Caenorhabditis elegans: one gene and its partners. The protein of the gene in region 1 interacts with the protein of each later gene in a pairwise test. Each region holds a gene or a part of one and is shown on either strand. Other genes may lie near its edges.

Region 1 (4,799 bases):
ATTTTCTGAAAATTTCTGAAAATGATTTTTCAGGAAGTTTTCAATAGTTTTTTACCGAAAAAAATCTTTGAAACTCTACTAAGAACTTCTTAATATAAAAACTCGAATTCTTCATCAAAATTCTAGTCAAATTGGCCCCCATATTGAGCCATTTCCTATAAGTTTGAAAAATAGGTCGCGGTGGCTTCGCTGGGTAGAGGTTGGGCTGACGCGCGGAAGACAGGGGTTCAATCCCCGCTGTAGGTGAATATTTTTGTGAGACTTTTTCCATCTAACAAGAAAAGAATCTCGAGTTGGAAACTAGGTTGAACCCTGTATGTGAAATTTTTGGCCCAAAAAACCGGAAATTTTCAATTTTCGCCGCGATGGCTCAGTGGCTAACAGGTTTGGCTGTGAATCTCGACACCAGGGTTCGACCCCAGCCGGTCCCAAATTTTTTTTCCGGTACATTTTTGATCATATGAAATGGGTAAATATTGTCGAAAAAAATTTCCAAAAAAAAATTAACAACAAATCCTCACAGCTAATACTTAAGCAACAAAGCCGCTCACCTATAAATTATCTTAATGAAAATGAAAAAAGAAAATCCGCCCCGGCCGGCACAGAAGAAAAAAATTATTTAACAGATTGAGTTCACGGCTCCGCTAAACACCGATTATCCCCCGGTAGCGGGGGATATGATTTTTGGGGATTTTTCAAGGATTTTCTATACTTTCCATATTTTGATGAAAAAAATTTTACTCCATCAGTGTAACTTTTTTGACAAAATTTGTGAGAGTTACATTTTTGTAAATTTTTTCCAAAATAATGAAAAAAATGTGTGTAATGTCAAAATTACTTTAAAACAGGGGAAACTATGTTAAATTAAGCTGTGCAAAAATGTTCTGGTGCACGTTGGGGTCGAGCCCTTGACCTTCTGCGCCATAGCCTAACATGTACCCAGTTCAGCACACATTTTCACGAAATTTCTAAAAAATTTCAAAATTATCTTAATTAGGCCAATATGGGAGTCACGTTGAAATTTAATGGAGAATTCGAATTTGACGTTTAATTTACTAAAATTTAATTTTTTCAACGAAAATTACTCGACACATGGAAAGTGTTGAAAACTAGTTTCTAGCTCGAAATTTTGTATTTTTGTCACTCAAAAAATTGCAACAAAAACTTATGACCAAGCTGGGACTCGAACCCCTGACCTTCTGCACCATAACCCAGCCTCTACCCGATTGAGCCACTTCGCCCCATTTTCCGAAATTTTTGACAATTTAAAAACTACCGAAATAGGTCAATATGGGGGTCATATTGACGGAAATTTTTTGTAAAATTCGAATTTTTAGGTTTAAAACGTTTAAACCCAAATGCTAAAGACTTAAATGTTCGTTTTCCTCAAAAGTTGTGACCTTTTTTTTTGCAACTTTGTTATACCAAAACCGCAACACATAGTACAGTTCCCCCCGCCCCCAAAATTCGTTCCGCGTTGCTATTAGCATACAATGCCCCCCACGGTCACTCACCTCTGTGTGCACTCTCCCGGTTTCGCGCACTATTTCCCACGCCGCGCGCCACACCGCTTGAAACATATTTCCAGTTGGTCAGCAGCGGCTGACTGACCGGCGGCGCGGTGATAAGGGGGAGAGTCTCCAGGAATAACGGTCTGAAACACCTCTCACTGTACTACTATATTATTCTCTCTTGTTTCTGTATACTCATGTACACTTTGCCAAAGTGCTCTGATCACCCACATCGTCCCCTTATTCTAGAAAATTCCACGTCATCAACTGGGCTAATATTTGCTGAGAGTCAAGCTTCAGCATCCCATCAAACTTGGATTAATATGGTGAGTTTTCTGAGGAAACGTTCATTTTTGTACATTTTTTAGGTTTTACTGAAGAACTAGCACTCAAATCGAAAATATTTCGGTACTTGTGTATTACATGTCCTCATTTTTAAATTAAATTAAACGGTTACTCGTGAATTTTTAGCTGCGAATCTCCAAAACCAAGCTCACGGCGAGCTCTCAAAGATCCTGAAAATAGCACTTTAACGAAGTAGTGAAGGGCCAATTTTCCAAATTTACTTTGGTAGCTCATATCTCAGCGGATAAATTTTTTACCGAAAAGTCATCAACTAATATGTTGTTGATATTTTTGTAAAGAACAAGTTTGTAGTTGAAAGTTTTTGTCAAAAAAATTGTTGTTTCAGATAGAAGCGCATGAAGTGCGGCAACTGCTGCTATTGCGATTTTAATGCTTTTATCTAAAACAAAAAACTTTTGGTAAAAACTTTTAACTACAAACTTGTTCTTTACAAAAAGTTCAACAATTTATCAGTTGATGACTTTTCTTTGAAAAATTTATCCGCAGAGATATGAGCTACCAAAGTGAATAAGGAAAATTGCTTGTTTTGATCGTAAAGTGCTTCGTTACAGTGCTATTTTAGGATATTTGAGAGCTCGCCGTGAGCTTGGTTCTGGAGATTCGCAGCTATCGAATGGCACAGGTTTCATATGCAAGTCCGATGGGCACCTTCTGACGGTTCCCTAGTTAGGAAATTTTATTTCCTAAGCCTAAAAATCCAAAAGTGTGGTTCACGTTTTTATTTTGCACAACTTAAAAAATTACTATAAAAATGAGGGCATGTAATACACAAGTACCAATATTTCAATTAAAATGTATTCAACGTTAAATTCTACACCAATTTACCGCACAATACAAAACAATTTCTGAAAAAAACTTTTTTTCGGGACAATTGTTTAAAAAATTTTTAAAGGCTAATTTTTCAATTTTTCAATTATTTTATTAAAACATTCGAATCTTCCGTCTAAAATCTCTAAAATCCGTTAATTTACCCCCATATTGCCCTATTTCCGATAAGTTAAATTTGGTCTCGGTGGCTCAGTCGGGTATCTGTTGGTCTAGACTATGACGCAGAAGACCGGGGTTCTAGTCCGGTAGGAGGGATTTTCTTTTTATTTTGATTTCTTGTACAAAATAACATGTAAAAGTCTAAATTATGGGAGTTAAAAAAAGATTTACGAAAAAAAAATTCTAAAATGAAATTCCTGTCACTCTAAAACTGTTTCAACCATCAAAACAGTTATAGTAAAAAATAAAAACCACAACTGGGCTCGAACCCTCGACCTTCTGACTCAGCCTAACCTCTGACCAGCTGAGCCACTGGGACCCAATTTTTTGACTTTTCTAAAAATTTCAAAATTTTTGTAAATTGGTCAATATGGGTGTCAACTTAACGGAAATTTCATGGAGAATTCGAATTTGACAATGAATATCTTTTAAAAAAATTCTCTGAATTTAAAGTTTGGAAAAATTGTCTTAAACAGGCTAATTAACTGGAAAGTTTATGAAAAATTATAATTTTCTTATTCCAGACGCTGGGTGACCCTTGCTCCGTCGAGCAACCCCCACCTCCACCCATCGATTTCTCACGGAGCCTAATTGCTCCGACCGCTATCAAACAAGAATCTCACCTAATTCCCTCAACGCCAGGTAATATTCTAATTAATTTTTTTCGAATAAAAAATAAATATAAATATGTTCAGGCACCCCAACAGCTTTCCAACCCCCACAGCATGCGAACACACCAATCCCTGGTATTCAGCCGAATTTGTTCAATCCGGCAATAATGGCGGCTCAACTAAACGTATTCAGCAACCCACAGTTGATGGCAATGATGCAGGTAAACTATTTTCTGCAAAAATGAGAATTCGGCAAAACTGGCAGTGCAAAAATAAAAAAATAAACTTCCCATGCCGGGAATCGAACCCGGGCCGCGTGGGTGAAAACCACGAATCCTAACCACTAGACCACATGGGAGGACGAAACGAGGAGGTCTCGAGTGCCTAGAGAAGAGTGTGCGGGAGGGGCCTGCTGACTGTAGCGGAAAAAGTTATATGGCGGGGGCAAAAAGAATGTCCAATTTTTTTCGAAAAAAAAACGAAATATCTCTCAAATTCTCGACCCTAATGAAAAATTACTATGTGTCTATGTGTGTGGAAGGTCATTCGATAACCTTTTTTTTCCCTCAAAAAAATATCATGAAAGGTTTGATCTCGTTTTCAAAAATATTTTTTAACTTTTGCCCCAAAATTTGTTTTTTTTTTGTTAAATTCTCCCTTAAATTTTTGAATTTCCAGGCTACCAGAAACCCATTGTTAGGACACCCGTCAGTTGTCGGTCCACCAATGATGCCAAATATCATTCAACAGCTAAATGCCCTTCGAAATGTTCAGGTAAAAAAAATGTTGCTCAAAGAACTTTTTTTCAAAAAAATTTTCCAATTTTTCCGATTTTCTAGGATTCCTTTTTATTTTAACACACTTTAACTATCCAAACAAACCTTGAGAAAAACATTTTCCCTTACTTGGGCTCGAACCCCGGTCTTGTGCGCTACAGCCCAACCTCTACCCAGTTGCGCCACTTCGATCCATTTTCAAAAATTTTAAAATAATTAGAATCCGGTCATTATGGGGGTCAAATTAACGGAAATTGCACGCAGAATCCGAATTTCGACATGAAAAACAATGAAAATCAATGCCTCAACCTAAAAAAACACAAAATTTTAACTAGAATTAAAACAATTTTAGGTTAGGACTTGGAGTTTTTCAAATCATTTACTAAATTTTCTGCGTATACCTAATATTCCAATACCCTTTTTTCCAAAAGTTTGGACTACAAGGACAGTGTCGCGAGCGCGCGCGCTCTCTCTAAAAACAGGTTTTGATCACCGGTCGAATTGTAGCTCCGCCCACTTTCCGGGGTCCTCAGGTGACCTCTACGCTG
Region 2 (7,985 bases), 1.3 Mb from region 1:
GAATTCCCTGCAAAATAACGATAAAAACTGATTAAAAATCGAAGAAAAATGACCGAAAACGCGCCGCAAACAGTTTAAGATTCGAATTCTCCCGCCGAAACAATTGCACGAGAAACGCGCCAATAAACATCACGAAACGCGCCAGCAAGCGTCCAAGGCACATATCGATTTTTCTCGCGACTCGGAAAAGAAATTAATTAAAAATCTCGAAAATCATCGATTTTCATTGTTTCTTTCAGTTTTTTCATTGATTTTTTGGTAAAATAATTGATAAATAAGTTTTTTTTTTCAGAAATGAACCGCTTGATGGTTATTTCGGCTCGTCGGATGGCGTCGGCGGCTCCAAAAACGAGCACCGGAATCGAGCACGCAGAGAAGGCCAGACAGGTCGCTGGTATGGCTTTCTGAAACTCTAAACTAGATAATAATCCGTCATAATATTGTATTGAAAAAGTTTAAGCCAAAAAATTCCTTAAAAATAGCTGAAAAAGTTGAATTTTTGCGGAAATGGCACGAAAATTCGATGTTTCCCGTAAAATCACTGAAATATTTGATTTTTTGCATTAGAACTTGTGAATAGCTAAATTTTTAGTTACAATTTCATTGAAAAAAGCTAGTTTCTGCAAAAAATGTCGATTTTTCGCCATTTTTCTTGTTAAAATCGATTTTAGCCGAAAATATTCTGATTAAACATTAAAAATGAGCAGAATATCGATTTTTGTCAGAAAAAAAAACTATGAAAAGTCTAATTTTCTGGAAAAATGTGCATTTTTCTAGAAAAAAAATCGAATTTCAGACAAGTTTTTCCCAATTTCCATCCAATTTCCACGCAAAATCTCTCAATTTTCAGGCGGAAAACCCGATTGGTCACTGTACAAATGCGACGAATACCTGAAATTCGACAAATACTCGTACGCTCACGCCGAAATCACCATGAACAAGGATCGTGTCGTTCAGCCGTCCTACAAGAAGGCCGACGTTCTTCCGAAAGTTCGAGCTTAATCTTTTTTCGACATTTTCTGTGTGAAAAATAGAGTTTTCGGTGGATTTTATCATTTTTTTTGTGTAGATTTTTCGTATAAATATGAGTTTTTACATAGATTTTTTAATTTTATTGATTTCATGGCTGTTTCCATGCTTAATTATCTAGTAACAAGTCGTTGAAAAACGAAAAAAACACAACGATGCTCCGATGTTCCGCACGTGCATGTTGTTTATCATTGCTCAAAAAATGGCGGTTTTTCGAATTTTTTTTGTGAATTTTTGCTGTTTTTCCGCCTAAAAAAATAAATTTTAACACAATAATAAGCCGAAGCACAATTTTTCTTTAATGCCTGCTCGTTCCCACGGTGATTGCCGCCACAAGGGATTACCTAGCAGCGAGTTTCCATGGTGATGGGCGTCGCTAGCTTTTGTTCAGAGAAGCAGATGTCATATTCATTGAATTTTTAATTTTTTCAATCAAAATCGCATTATTTTCGAGAGATTCGAGGGAAAAATCGAAAAAATTGCAAAATTTTGATCGAAATTGTTGATTTTCATTATTTTTCGCAATTACTTCAATGAAAAATCACTTCAAAATGACCAAAAATGGTGTTTCGATGCAAATAATAAGGGTTTTTTTTTCAGAATAAGCTAGTGAAAAAAAAAAAATCGAATTTTCACTATTTTTCTCCTCGTTTCTTTGATTCTGCCATAAATACGATTGGAGAGAGTAAAATCTGAAATTTTTCCGAAAACCAGTTAAAATTCTGTTATTTTTCAACAAAAACCGTAAAAAAAATCATTAAAAACCTCGGAAAAAAAGTAATTTTTCGCTTTTTTTAAAACAATTTTTAACGATGCTCCGAAATCCCGCATGCGCGTGCTGTTTAGCATCACAAAAATTCGCGATTTTTTGAATTGTTCGATCCTGAAATTGCATTTTTTCTCGTAAATAATTAATTTTTCATGATTTTCAGGCAATTCCATGTCTGAAGAACTACATTCCGACCTGATTGCGTCGATTTTCGGCGGGAAGCCTGCCAAAATCGAGGAATTCTTCTCGAAATGGAATTTCGCGAACGCCGCTGTCTCAAAATTCGATATGGCGAACTCGGCAAAGAATGTGAGAGATTTTAATTAATTAGTTTTTGCAATAAATTTCCAGTTTTCAGGAGCTCGGAGACCGGATTTGTGAGGTTATAGAAAACGGAGAGCTGACCCACGTGCTGCTGGAGACGATAAAGATTTTGAGTAGGGAAAAAGATGGATTGGAGGTAGGGAAATACTACGCAATTTTGAACTGAAAATTCGGATTTTTCAGCTAAAAAACTAAAAAACCCCAATTTTCCCAATTTCCAGGGCCTCCTGAACGACCCGCTCTGCGATAAAATCCTCGCCTTCGCGGAACTCTCGTCAAACGAAAATAACTCGAAAACTGTCCACAGTAAGGCAATTTTGAGCCTAAAAATTCTCGAATTTCCCGCCAAAAATCATAATTTCAGCACTAATGGAGGCGCAAAAATGTCTAATCAACACTTTGTTTCACTCACAACGAATGAGAGATCGATTTTAGTGAGTTTTCAATTGAAAAATCGATTTTAAAGTGATTTTTTGCATAGGAAAGTGTAAAAAATCCTTTAAAAGTGGAAAAAAAGGTTATTTTCCGAAAAAAAAATTAGAAAAAAATCTATAAAATCTGATTTTTAATTGAATTTCTAAGAAAATTAGCTAAAAATTAGAAAAAAAACACGATTTTTGCAGTGCAAACCCGAAAACTGGTGAAAATTTGCAATTTTTCCTCGGAGAATTCGAGGAAAACCGCCGAAAAACGTCGTCAATCGATTGGATTCGCCTTCTGAATCCGGTTCAAGCCGCCGAAATTTGGTATTTCTATCATCGGATCGCTTTTATTGCAACTGCATTGGGCAGGGAATTTCAGGTGCTCGAAACGACACGAAAAATTTGAATTTTTTGACACAAAAATGACCCGAATTTTGGAGAAAACTCGTGTAAAATCGGCAGAAAAATCGAGCGTTTTTTACTGGAAATACACATATTTTTCGAGTTTTGAGCGATGCCACGCGTTGCGGTTGCGTCGCGGTTCAATAAATTCAGATTTCTCAGAAAAAATTTGAATTTTCTGCCTGAAAAAACCGATTTTTGTGTGATTTTTATCGGCAAATTTAGTTTTTAAAAACTGTGGACCGCGCGTTGCGGTCGCGTCGCGGTTCGAAATTTTTTTTATTATTTCAGATTTTTTTTTACAAAAAATTTTGGAAAACATAAAAATTATAGGTTTTTAATCAATTTTTACAAAAAATAAATTTTTTTATTTCAATTTTTATGAGAAAATCTGCGAATATTCATGAAAATTTTTAGTTTTTTTGTGAAAAACTAATTTTTTTTTTGCAGAAAAACTGGGCCAACGACCCAAAAACCATTGATTCTCTGCTTTTGGCCGTCGAAATTTGCACAAATCGATCAGAAAACAGCACTCAGGATATAAATCGAGCTACCGAGGCGTTGAAGACGTTTTTCAACGTTTTTTGCCATTTTCACGGAGATGTGAAGGCTATTGATCATGTAAAAATTCAAAAAAAAAAAAAAAACTGAAATACCAAAATTTATACCTTAAAAATGCGATTTTTTGAATTTTTTAAAACTTTTTTTTTTTAAACTACAAAAATTCGAGTTTTTAACTTGAAATTCCAAATTAAAAAAAAAAATTCATATAAAAACTTCCAATTTTCGTACGATTAATCGGTGAAATTTTCCGGTTTTTCAGGAATTTTCATTGAAAAATATCAAAAATCCAAAAATGACGATTTTCTATAGAAATCGTCATAAAAAATGCAATTTTTTGAGATTTTTGAGGTTTTTTTAGATTAAAAAAAAGATAAAAATCATCGATTTTCGTTTTATTTTCATTTTTTTTAAATCATGAAATATCACTCTATTTTTATTTTCCAAAAAAACAAATTAATTTAATATATAATTATATATCATATTTTTTTTGAATTGAGCAGAAAAATTCTGAGAAACTTCCTGAAATTGGCCCAAAAAATAAAAAATAAATTAAAAATTTGCGAAAAAAAAATTTCTTTTTTTTTCGCTTTTTTCGCATTTTTTCTGAATTTTCGTTTTTTTTCAGCTTTAAATTCTCGTGAAAATTCTTCTAAATTGCGGTAAATTTTGTAAAATTATCTAGGAATGTCAGAATTTTTTAAAATTTTTTTAAAGCACATTTCTGAAAAAATTCATTTATTTTTCAAATTTTTAACCCCAAAAGTATCAAAAATTCCATAAAAAATGTCAAAGTTTTGCTACAAATTACGACGAAAAAAAGTTTTTTTTTTCAGAAAAACGCGGCAAAAACGTGCCAAATCCTTCGTGACGCAATTTGCTCCGATGTGCTCACCGATGACGTCGTTCAATCTGCAATTCATTGCTTATCAGTTCCACCACTACCAATGGTCCTCTCAGTACTTTGTGGAAAAAATTCAAAAAATAACGGAGGAGAAAACGAGGAGGAGAAATTCTTTGTTGAGGAACTTAGCAATATGCAGCTCACCGAGGCAATTCTCATGCATTTGGATAAGCAACTAACAAAAGTCGTTGCTCTACTGCTCAATGATGCTCCAAATCAGCAGCAGAATCCAATGTTGTCGGCAGAAGCTTCAACACTTACAGATCTTGTTGGACCATATTTTCAAGTTCTCGCTAGGCTTTGTACGGATAGTAAATATGTTCGCAGATATTGTAGAATTCGGGTTCGTGAAAAAAAAAACACTTGATAGGGAAATTTTGAAAATTTCACTGCAACTTTTTCCTCACGAGGGACGAGGAAAAGTGGTTTCTAGGCCATGGCCGAGGGGCCGACAAGTTTCAGCGGCCATTTATCTTGCTTTGTTTTCCGCCTGTTTTCTTTCGTTTTTCACTGATTTTTTTCGTTTTTTTCTTAAGAAAACTGATAAATAAATATTTTTTGCAGATGCTAAAACAATTTCCAAGTAAAAAAATTATGTATTCAGTGGGCAAGTAGCGGATGTGCGAAAATCTCGACTTTTTCACCAAAAAAGTTGAATTTTGGAAACCTCAAAACTTTTTCAGCGGTCTCGTTATGAAAATCAGGTAGTCTCAGCATTTAAGCAGCATATGTATTATGTTTCAGAAAAAGTTTAGGTTTTGTATTCCCGTAATCCATCATATTACAATGCCCACTTTCACCGCTGCTTGCCCACTGAATACATAAATTTTTTCACTTGGAAATTGTTTTAGCATCTGCAAAAAATATTTATTTTCAGTTTTAATAAGAAAAAACGGGAAAAAGCTGTGAAAAACAAAAGAAAACAGGCGGAAAACAAAGCAAGATAAATGGCCGCTGAAACTTGTCGGCCCCTCGGCCATGGCCTAGAAACCACTTTTCCTCGTCCCTCGTGAGGAAAAAGTTGCAGTGTTGATAGGGAAATTTTGAAAATTTGAAAAAAATTCAAGACATTTTATAAAAAATTTAAAAAAAAATCTTCCGCCTCTATGAAAAAAAAATGATCTGATTTAAAAAAACATTTTTCACAAAATACATCAGTAAAATTATTAAAGATGGGGTACCGAAATCCGGGAAATATTTTTAATTGACTCCAAATTTTTCCCTGATTCCGAATTTCGATGTGAAAAAATTCAAAAAAAATTCCCTGATTTTCTATTTGGGCTTCAAATCGCGCATTTCATTTGTGCACCCATGAACTTTTTTCAAATTCGCGCCGAAAAAAATTATCCCCGGAGCGCGTTTTGAAATTAATTGAGACAAACGCGCTCCAAGGATAATTTATTTCGGCGCGAATTTGAAAAAAGTTCATGGGTGCACAAATGAACTGCGCGATTTTAGGCTCTAATATAAAATCAAGGAAATTTTTTTGAATTTTTTCACTTAGATATTCGGAATCAGAGAGCAAATTTGGAGTCAATTAAAAAGGTATATAGAAAAATTTATTCATGTTCTGATTAAAAAATTTTTTTTTCACAAAATACACTAGTAAAATTATTAAAAAATTATATGAAAATGTCGTTTTTGAAAGCTTCAAAAAAAAATTCAAAATTTTCGAATTTTTGCAGGTAATTCCCCCACTGGTATCAGAAGAAGTGCAAAAACGGCCGGAGGAGAACAATACACTACGTGGCCGAATCGCTAGAATTATGATGCTTCCGTCGTCAACGAAAGATGTCGCCGCCGAGTTCCTTTTCATTATTTGCAAGAGATCAGGTACGAAATTAACTTAATTCAAAGTTTTTTTTTTAAGTTAGAGTACAGAAATCTGGAAAAAATTTCGAATGACTTCAAATATTCCCCTGATTCCAATAATATCTATGTGAAAAATTCAGAAAAAAAATCCCTGCGAATTTTGTGGCGCCAAAGACGCCTTGTGTGTCGATTTACGAGAATTGTGTATATTTACGAAATGTTTAATCTTTATCAGATGCTGACTTCCCCCTTTTTTCTACGAGTTTCCCTGATTTTCGGCTATTTTTAAGGTCTATTAAGGTATAAAAAAATTTGCAAAATGTTCGGTTTTCAGTCGGAAAAAGCTTCAATTTGGATGGATTTTCCGTCAAGGAGTGCAACCTAAGCAAATATTTCGTAAATATACACAAATCTCGTAAATCGACACAAGGCGTCTCTGGCGCCACAAAATTCGTGATTTCAATCAAGCTTGAAATATAAAATCAGGGAAATTTTTTTTTTGAATTTTTTCACAAAGATATTCGGAATCAATGTTGTGGCACCCGGAGGCGGCGACCGAGCCTTTAAGCCGTAACGAAGAGTGACTCGAGACCGAAGAAAGAGTATGTATAGTCTGGAAGGAGCGCTGTGGCAGTGCGGATGAATGCGGTGGTCTTGCTCCCGAGGAGACTTGAATATAGAGCTAGTGACAGAACAAATGTATAAATATATTAATTTATATAGTAATTATAAGAATTACAATACAAGAGGGAGAGAGGATAAAGTAGGGGGAAGGCCTGGAAACTCCTTGGTTATTGGAGTTTGTCGGGTTCTCTTTGGTTATCAGAGATTGTCGGGTTCTCCTTGGATATCGGAGCAAGTACATGAATAATAGTGAGGGGCAATTACAAAGGAAAATGGGGGATGCGTCGGGAGAGAAGTGCCACGCACGACCGTTCGGCACGAGCGCAGCATCAAGACTGAAGTGGTGGCGTCCAATGGCTGCGTATCCTGTCGTCGCTTGAGTCGTCGCGCAGCTAATGTCGCTGTGGGGCGCGAGTGTGACTCTTGTGAGAGAGCGTATGAGAGCGAGAGACGCAGAAGAAAGAATGACTTCTGCGGCTCTTTGTCATAGAAACCTCGTCTGAGAGATCTCTGAAGAGATCGTAGGACGAGACATTGTGGAATGGCTCCCCATTCCACAACAATCAAGGGAAAATTTTGAGCCAATTCAAAATATTTCCCAGATTTCGGTACTCCGCCTTCAAAAACGTCAGTTTTGGAAAATTTGTGAGGGTTTATCTTTAAAAAATTCCCTTTTTCCAGTGAATCGAATGATCAAATACCTTGGATTCGGCCACTCGGCCGGTCACCTCGCAAATTTGGGTCTTCTCGGACAAATCAATCAACCAAAACACGCGTCGGACAGTGAGGATAGTGAAACTGAGGATTATAATCAGATTAAGGATAGGTATGCTATACTTTTTGTGCATAAAATCCATGGAAAAAAAGAGATTTTCAGTGTAAATCCAGTGACCGGAGCAATTTATCCATCGGATCACGGAAGTGCACTTGCCGGAATGTCTGAAGAGCAAAAAGAGTATGAAGCGATGAAGCTGGTTGATGCTATGAATCAAATGATGGAAACTGGTGAGAAATTCGGAGAAAATTGCGCGAAAATTTGATGAAATTTGACATAAAATTCAGGTTTTTTGCAGCAGAAAAATCTGGAAAACAATTGGTGAAATCCCCCCAAAAAAATATAAAAAATTGCACGAAATTT
Region 3 (3,482 bases), 9.0 Mb from region 1:
AATTTTTGATATGTACTTTGTATAAGTGCTAATTTATTTAAGGTGAATACTCGAAAAATTCCAATTACTTATTCAATCAAAAATTTCAATTTGAAAACTCACGAGTAAGCCATCGAGGAAACCGAGGTAAGTGCATCGACAGCATTTTTGATTGGAACCTTTTTGGGATCCAAAGGGTTGTACGGTCCAAATCTTTCAGGTTTTTCACTTTTATGATCTTCAAGAAGGTCGGATATTTTAAAAAGGATTTGACAATCATCCATTTGTCGACTCTGAAATTAATAAAAATCGAGACTTTAAACTAATTGAAATATTTACCTCAATTATATCGAGAAGGTTGGAGACCGGGGGAAATCGACACTTGTCCGATGAGAGGAAATGCTCAAAATTGAGAATTTTGAGAACAGTTGAGATGGCTTTTGTCGGAAAATGCTCACAGTCATCGTCTTCGATTTCGATGGCAATTGTGTGAAGGCAATCGTAAAGCTAAAATATAAATTTATTGAAATTTTTTTAGTCGAACAAAAATAGCTCACCCTAGCACCAAAGTGGTAAAAAGATGAAAAAACTCGTTGTCGTTTTTCTTCGTCTGCTCCATCCATATCCATTTCTAATGGAATGAGGTGATTGAACATATTAAGGTGAGCCATTCCACCTTTGGCTAAACTAACACGGTGGTCTCGTCGCTTCTGAAATTTTTAAAATAATTGATATTGGAAAATTCTGAATTTTTAAGCAAAAAGGAAAATACAAAGAAAAATGATTGTTTTAACTGAAACAATAATCTTAATGGTAACTTTTCAAAACAAAAATTTTCTTCCGGAAACCTATGTGGCAGGTGAAGAGGATAACCCATAATTTCAAAATGTTGGAAAACAATTTATTGTGTTTCTTCCATGAAAGTAAGACACAGGCGATGTTCGGAGAAGTTGTAGGCGCGTGACAGACATAATACACGTCTTCTTCCATCTGCCCTTTTCGTTTCACTATCGGAACAACGGCATGGCAACGGGCATGAGGAGGAAAGGAATTAGGGAGGATGTGAGAAGATGAATCGATGGATGATAGTGATAAAGAAGGAACATATTGATTATTGTTCGCAATAACATTCTAGAAAATTTAGAAAATCCTAAAATTAGCATTCAAAAAAATAAATGACTTCGTAGATCCGAAACGCATGTTACTTTTTGAATTAAACATAATGATTTCTTAACAATCGATATAAACAATTTTCTCAAATATATTAAAACTAACTTTATCAAAACTAGAAAAAAATTATGGAGGATAATCCGAATACTCGCGCATAACGCATCCTCCTTTTCCCTAACGAAATCCAGTTACGAGCAATAGAAATGTAAACGAAGTAATATGAAAAATGATTTTGCAAACTTCAAAAATTAAATGAAACTGAAAAATTCAATATTCCTCCCAAAACCATGCAAGAATTGAGTCTTGGAAAGCTGGTTGGCAAATTCGAAAGAAAATAATGGGTTCGTAAAAGCGTCAGCACGAGAATTGCGCCAGCAACTTGTGCTGACGCATTTGCTGTGCGTGCTCCCAAAAAATAAAAAAAAGGTTTTTATGTTTTGTGAATAAAAAAAAGTTCTGTACAGAATTCTGTTTAAATGTTTGTAAAAAACAGAAATCGACAATTCGTGATAAAGAAGAATAGTTTTAAAAATTGTGTTATTTTAATATTAAATTTAATGTCACGTTTCCAATTATTTGGATTTAAGAAAACGTTTTATAAAACCTGAAAATCAAAAAAAAATCATTTCCCAATTGAGTTTTCATACAAACCGATCGAATTATGAAGAAAAATGAAAGCGGCAGCGTAAGACAACTGAAACGATTCAAAATAAACATAAATGAATTAAGTTGGCTCTTGATAAAGATTTCAACATTGACAAGCTTTTGCCAAAGGAATTGATCGACCATTTCATGATTCGAAAGCCAATAGGAGTTCGTGTACACAAGCAGGATTGTCGGGTAATTGTCAAATAGTATTTATTCAAATTCTTGAGCTCTTGATCTTGATTTTGGGACACCATACATAATTCATATTCAGATCACACATGTCCTTCCTGAATCACATCTTATTGGAAAAGCATTTCTAGGTGATTGTATCACTGCAATCGATGAAAAAGTTATCCACACTAGTGACGAGTTGCACCAAAAGTTGAAAGAGAAAACTGAGGTGTTAATATTTCTGAATCGAGTGTTTGCAAACGAAAATTTCAGAATATTCATCTACAACTGAAACGTAACATGTTTTCCTGGTGTTTTCATATTCGAACAACTGTTGAGAAAATCCAAATTGACAGAGATTTAGAGAGAATCACTCCAAATCCTGTTAACCATTACTTTGTGAGACAGCTTTTTAAAAATTAAAAAAAAAACTTTCTTATTTTAGGTTCTCATAAAAGTTCGTCCAACTCCTGAAATGCAATTCATTGACTTGGGATTATTTGTCAAATATAACAATAGAGATCGTTTGGAGGTAATTTAAACTTACAGTAACCACCGCATTTCATTTTCAGGTTGATTATGTTACTCCAAACAGCTTAGCATCCATCCATCTGAAATCTGGAGATGTCATTCGGGAGTGTAATTCTCAGGCAATTTGCTCGAAGAGCATGCTCCGTTATTGTATTGCGAGCAGCATCGCTTCTTCTGGACACTTTACGCTTCTTATTGAAGCACCAATTCGAGATATTCTCAGAGATCACATTGATTTGGCAGATGATGTTGTGGCAATTGCTGATAAGGCGGTAGAGGAGTTCAGAAAATTGGGGAAAGGATATCTACCACAACAACCGAAGAAAGGAGATAAGAAGAAAAACATCAAATTGAAAGAGGGACGTACAGAACATCAGATCGTTAGTGACATTGATCCTGCTAAACTGAGAGCGTGTAAAAATGCTAGCTGAATTTCTCTGATAATAAAGTTTCTACATTAAAATCCTTAAACATTCATAATTAAATATTATACGTTAACAGCAAACAAAATAGTGTAAGAAACAAATATGAGAAAAACTGCGGTTCAAATGGGTTCAAATAAAGCCAGGAACTAAAATGCGAACCGGATATGGATAATTTAAAGATGTAATAGCAATTTATCGTACGAGTTGAAGAGTCTGACCAACAAGAGACGTCACGTCAACTGTTGGATGGACCGCCGATCCATCGACATTCTTCAAGGCAATCTTACCGTTCCAGAGATCAAGAGCAGAGCGAACCTGAAACAAAAACAGATTTAACATTTTAAATTTCTAGGAAAACCCGATAAACATACGTGATATAGAAGATCAGCATATCCCTTCAGGTGTTCTTTTTCTGTTTTCACATGAACTCGAACTTTCTTTGATCCATCAACAACAGTGATCCCATCGAAACTGTCACCTTCGGCGAACAACCAAAGCTGAAAATAATTGTTCAGGAATATTAGAGAACATCAACAAAAACGGAATTTACCTCAACTT

The links. Proteins that work in one complex are often made in the same cells at the same time.
Region 2: the proteins of nhr-41 (region 1) and ric-8 interact in a two-hybrid assay, tested with the Caenorhabditis elegans proteins (one large-scale study listed by BioGRID).
Region 3: the proteins of nhr-41 (region 1) and mpz-5 interact in a two-hybrid assay, tested with the Caenorhabditis elegans proteins (one large-scale study listed by BioGRID).

The regions. Positions count from the first base shown.
Region 1 is NC_003282.8:1,384,455-1,389,253, forward strand, and holds the start of nhr-41 (Nuclear Hormone Receptor family), read left to right. Parts: upstream 1-1,760; 5' UTR 1,761-1,834; coding exon 1,835-1,837; intron 1,838-3,388; coding exon 3,389-3,506; intron 3,507-3,559; coding exon 3,560-3,696; intron 3,697-3,761; exon of another isoform or gene 3,762-3,833; intron 3,834-4,153; coding exon 4,154-4,249; intron 4,250-4,799.
Region 2 is NC_003282.8:2,641,018-2,649,002, forward strand, and holds the start of ric-8 (Chaperone ric-8), read left to right. Parts: upstream 1-1,961; 5' UTR 1,962-1,969; coding exon 1,970-2,107; intron 2,108-2,156; coding exon 2,157-2,258; intron 2,259-2,343; coding exon 2,344-2,428; coding exon of another isoform or gene 2,429-2,486; coding exon 2,487-2,556; intron 2,557-2,745; coding exon 2,746-2,923; coding exon of another isoform or gene 2,924-2,950; intron 2,951-3,396; coding exon 3,397-3,567; intron 3,568-4,343; coding exon 4,344-4,754; intron 4,755-6,096; coding exon 6,097-6,244; intron 6,245-7,528; coding exon 7,529-7,673; intron 7,674-7,724; coding exon 7,725-7,852; intron 7,853-7,985. Other genes in the region: nduv-3 (NADH dehydrogenase [ubiquinone] flavoprotein 3, mitochondrial), read left to right, coding at 295-394, 851-1,002. UniProt on the Caenorhabditis elegans protein: Chaperone that specifically binds and folds some, but not all, nascent G alpha proteins prior to G protein heterotrimer formation, promoting their stability and activity.
Region 3 is NC_003282.8:10,372,114-10,375,595, reverse strand, and holds mpz-5 (PDZ domain-containing protein), read left to right. Parts: upstream 1-1,773; 5' UTR 1,774-1,810; coding exon 1,811-1,834; intron 1,835-1,878; coding exon 1,879-1,989; intron 1,990-2,068; coding exon 2,069-2,197; intron 2,198-2,241; coding exon 2,242-2,367; intron 2,368-2,413; coding exon 2,414-2,500; intron 2,501-2,540; coding exon 2,541-2,930; 3' UTR 2,931-2,958; downstream 2,959-3,482. Other genes in the region: Ankyrin repeat and KH domain-containing protein mask-1, read right to left, coding at 103-272, 319-486, 537-650; iars-1 (Isoleucine--tRNA ligase, cytoplasmic), read right to left, coding at 3,117-3,239, 3,296-3,421, 3,475-3,482.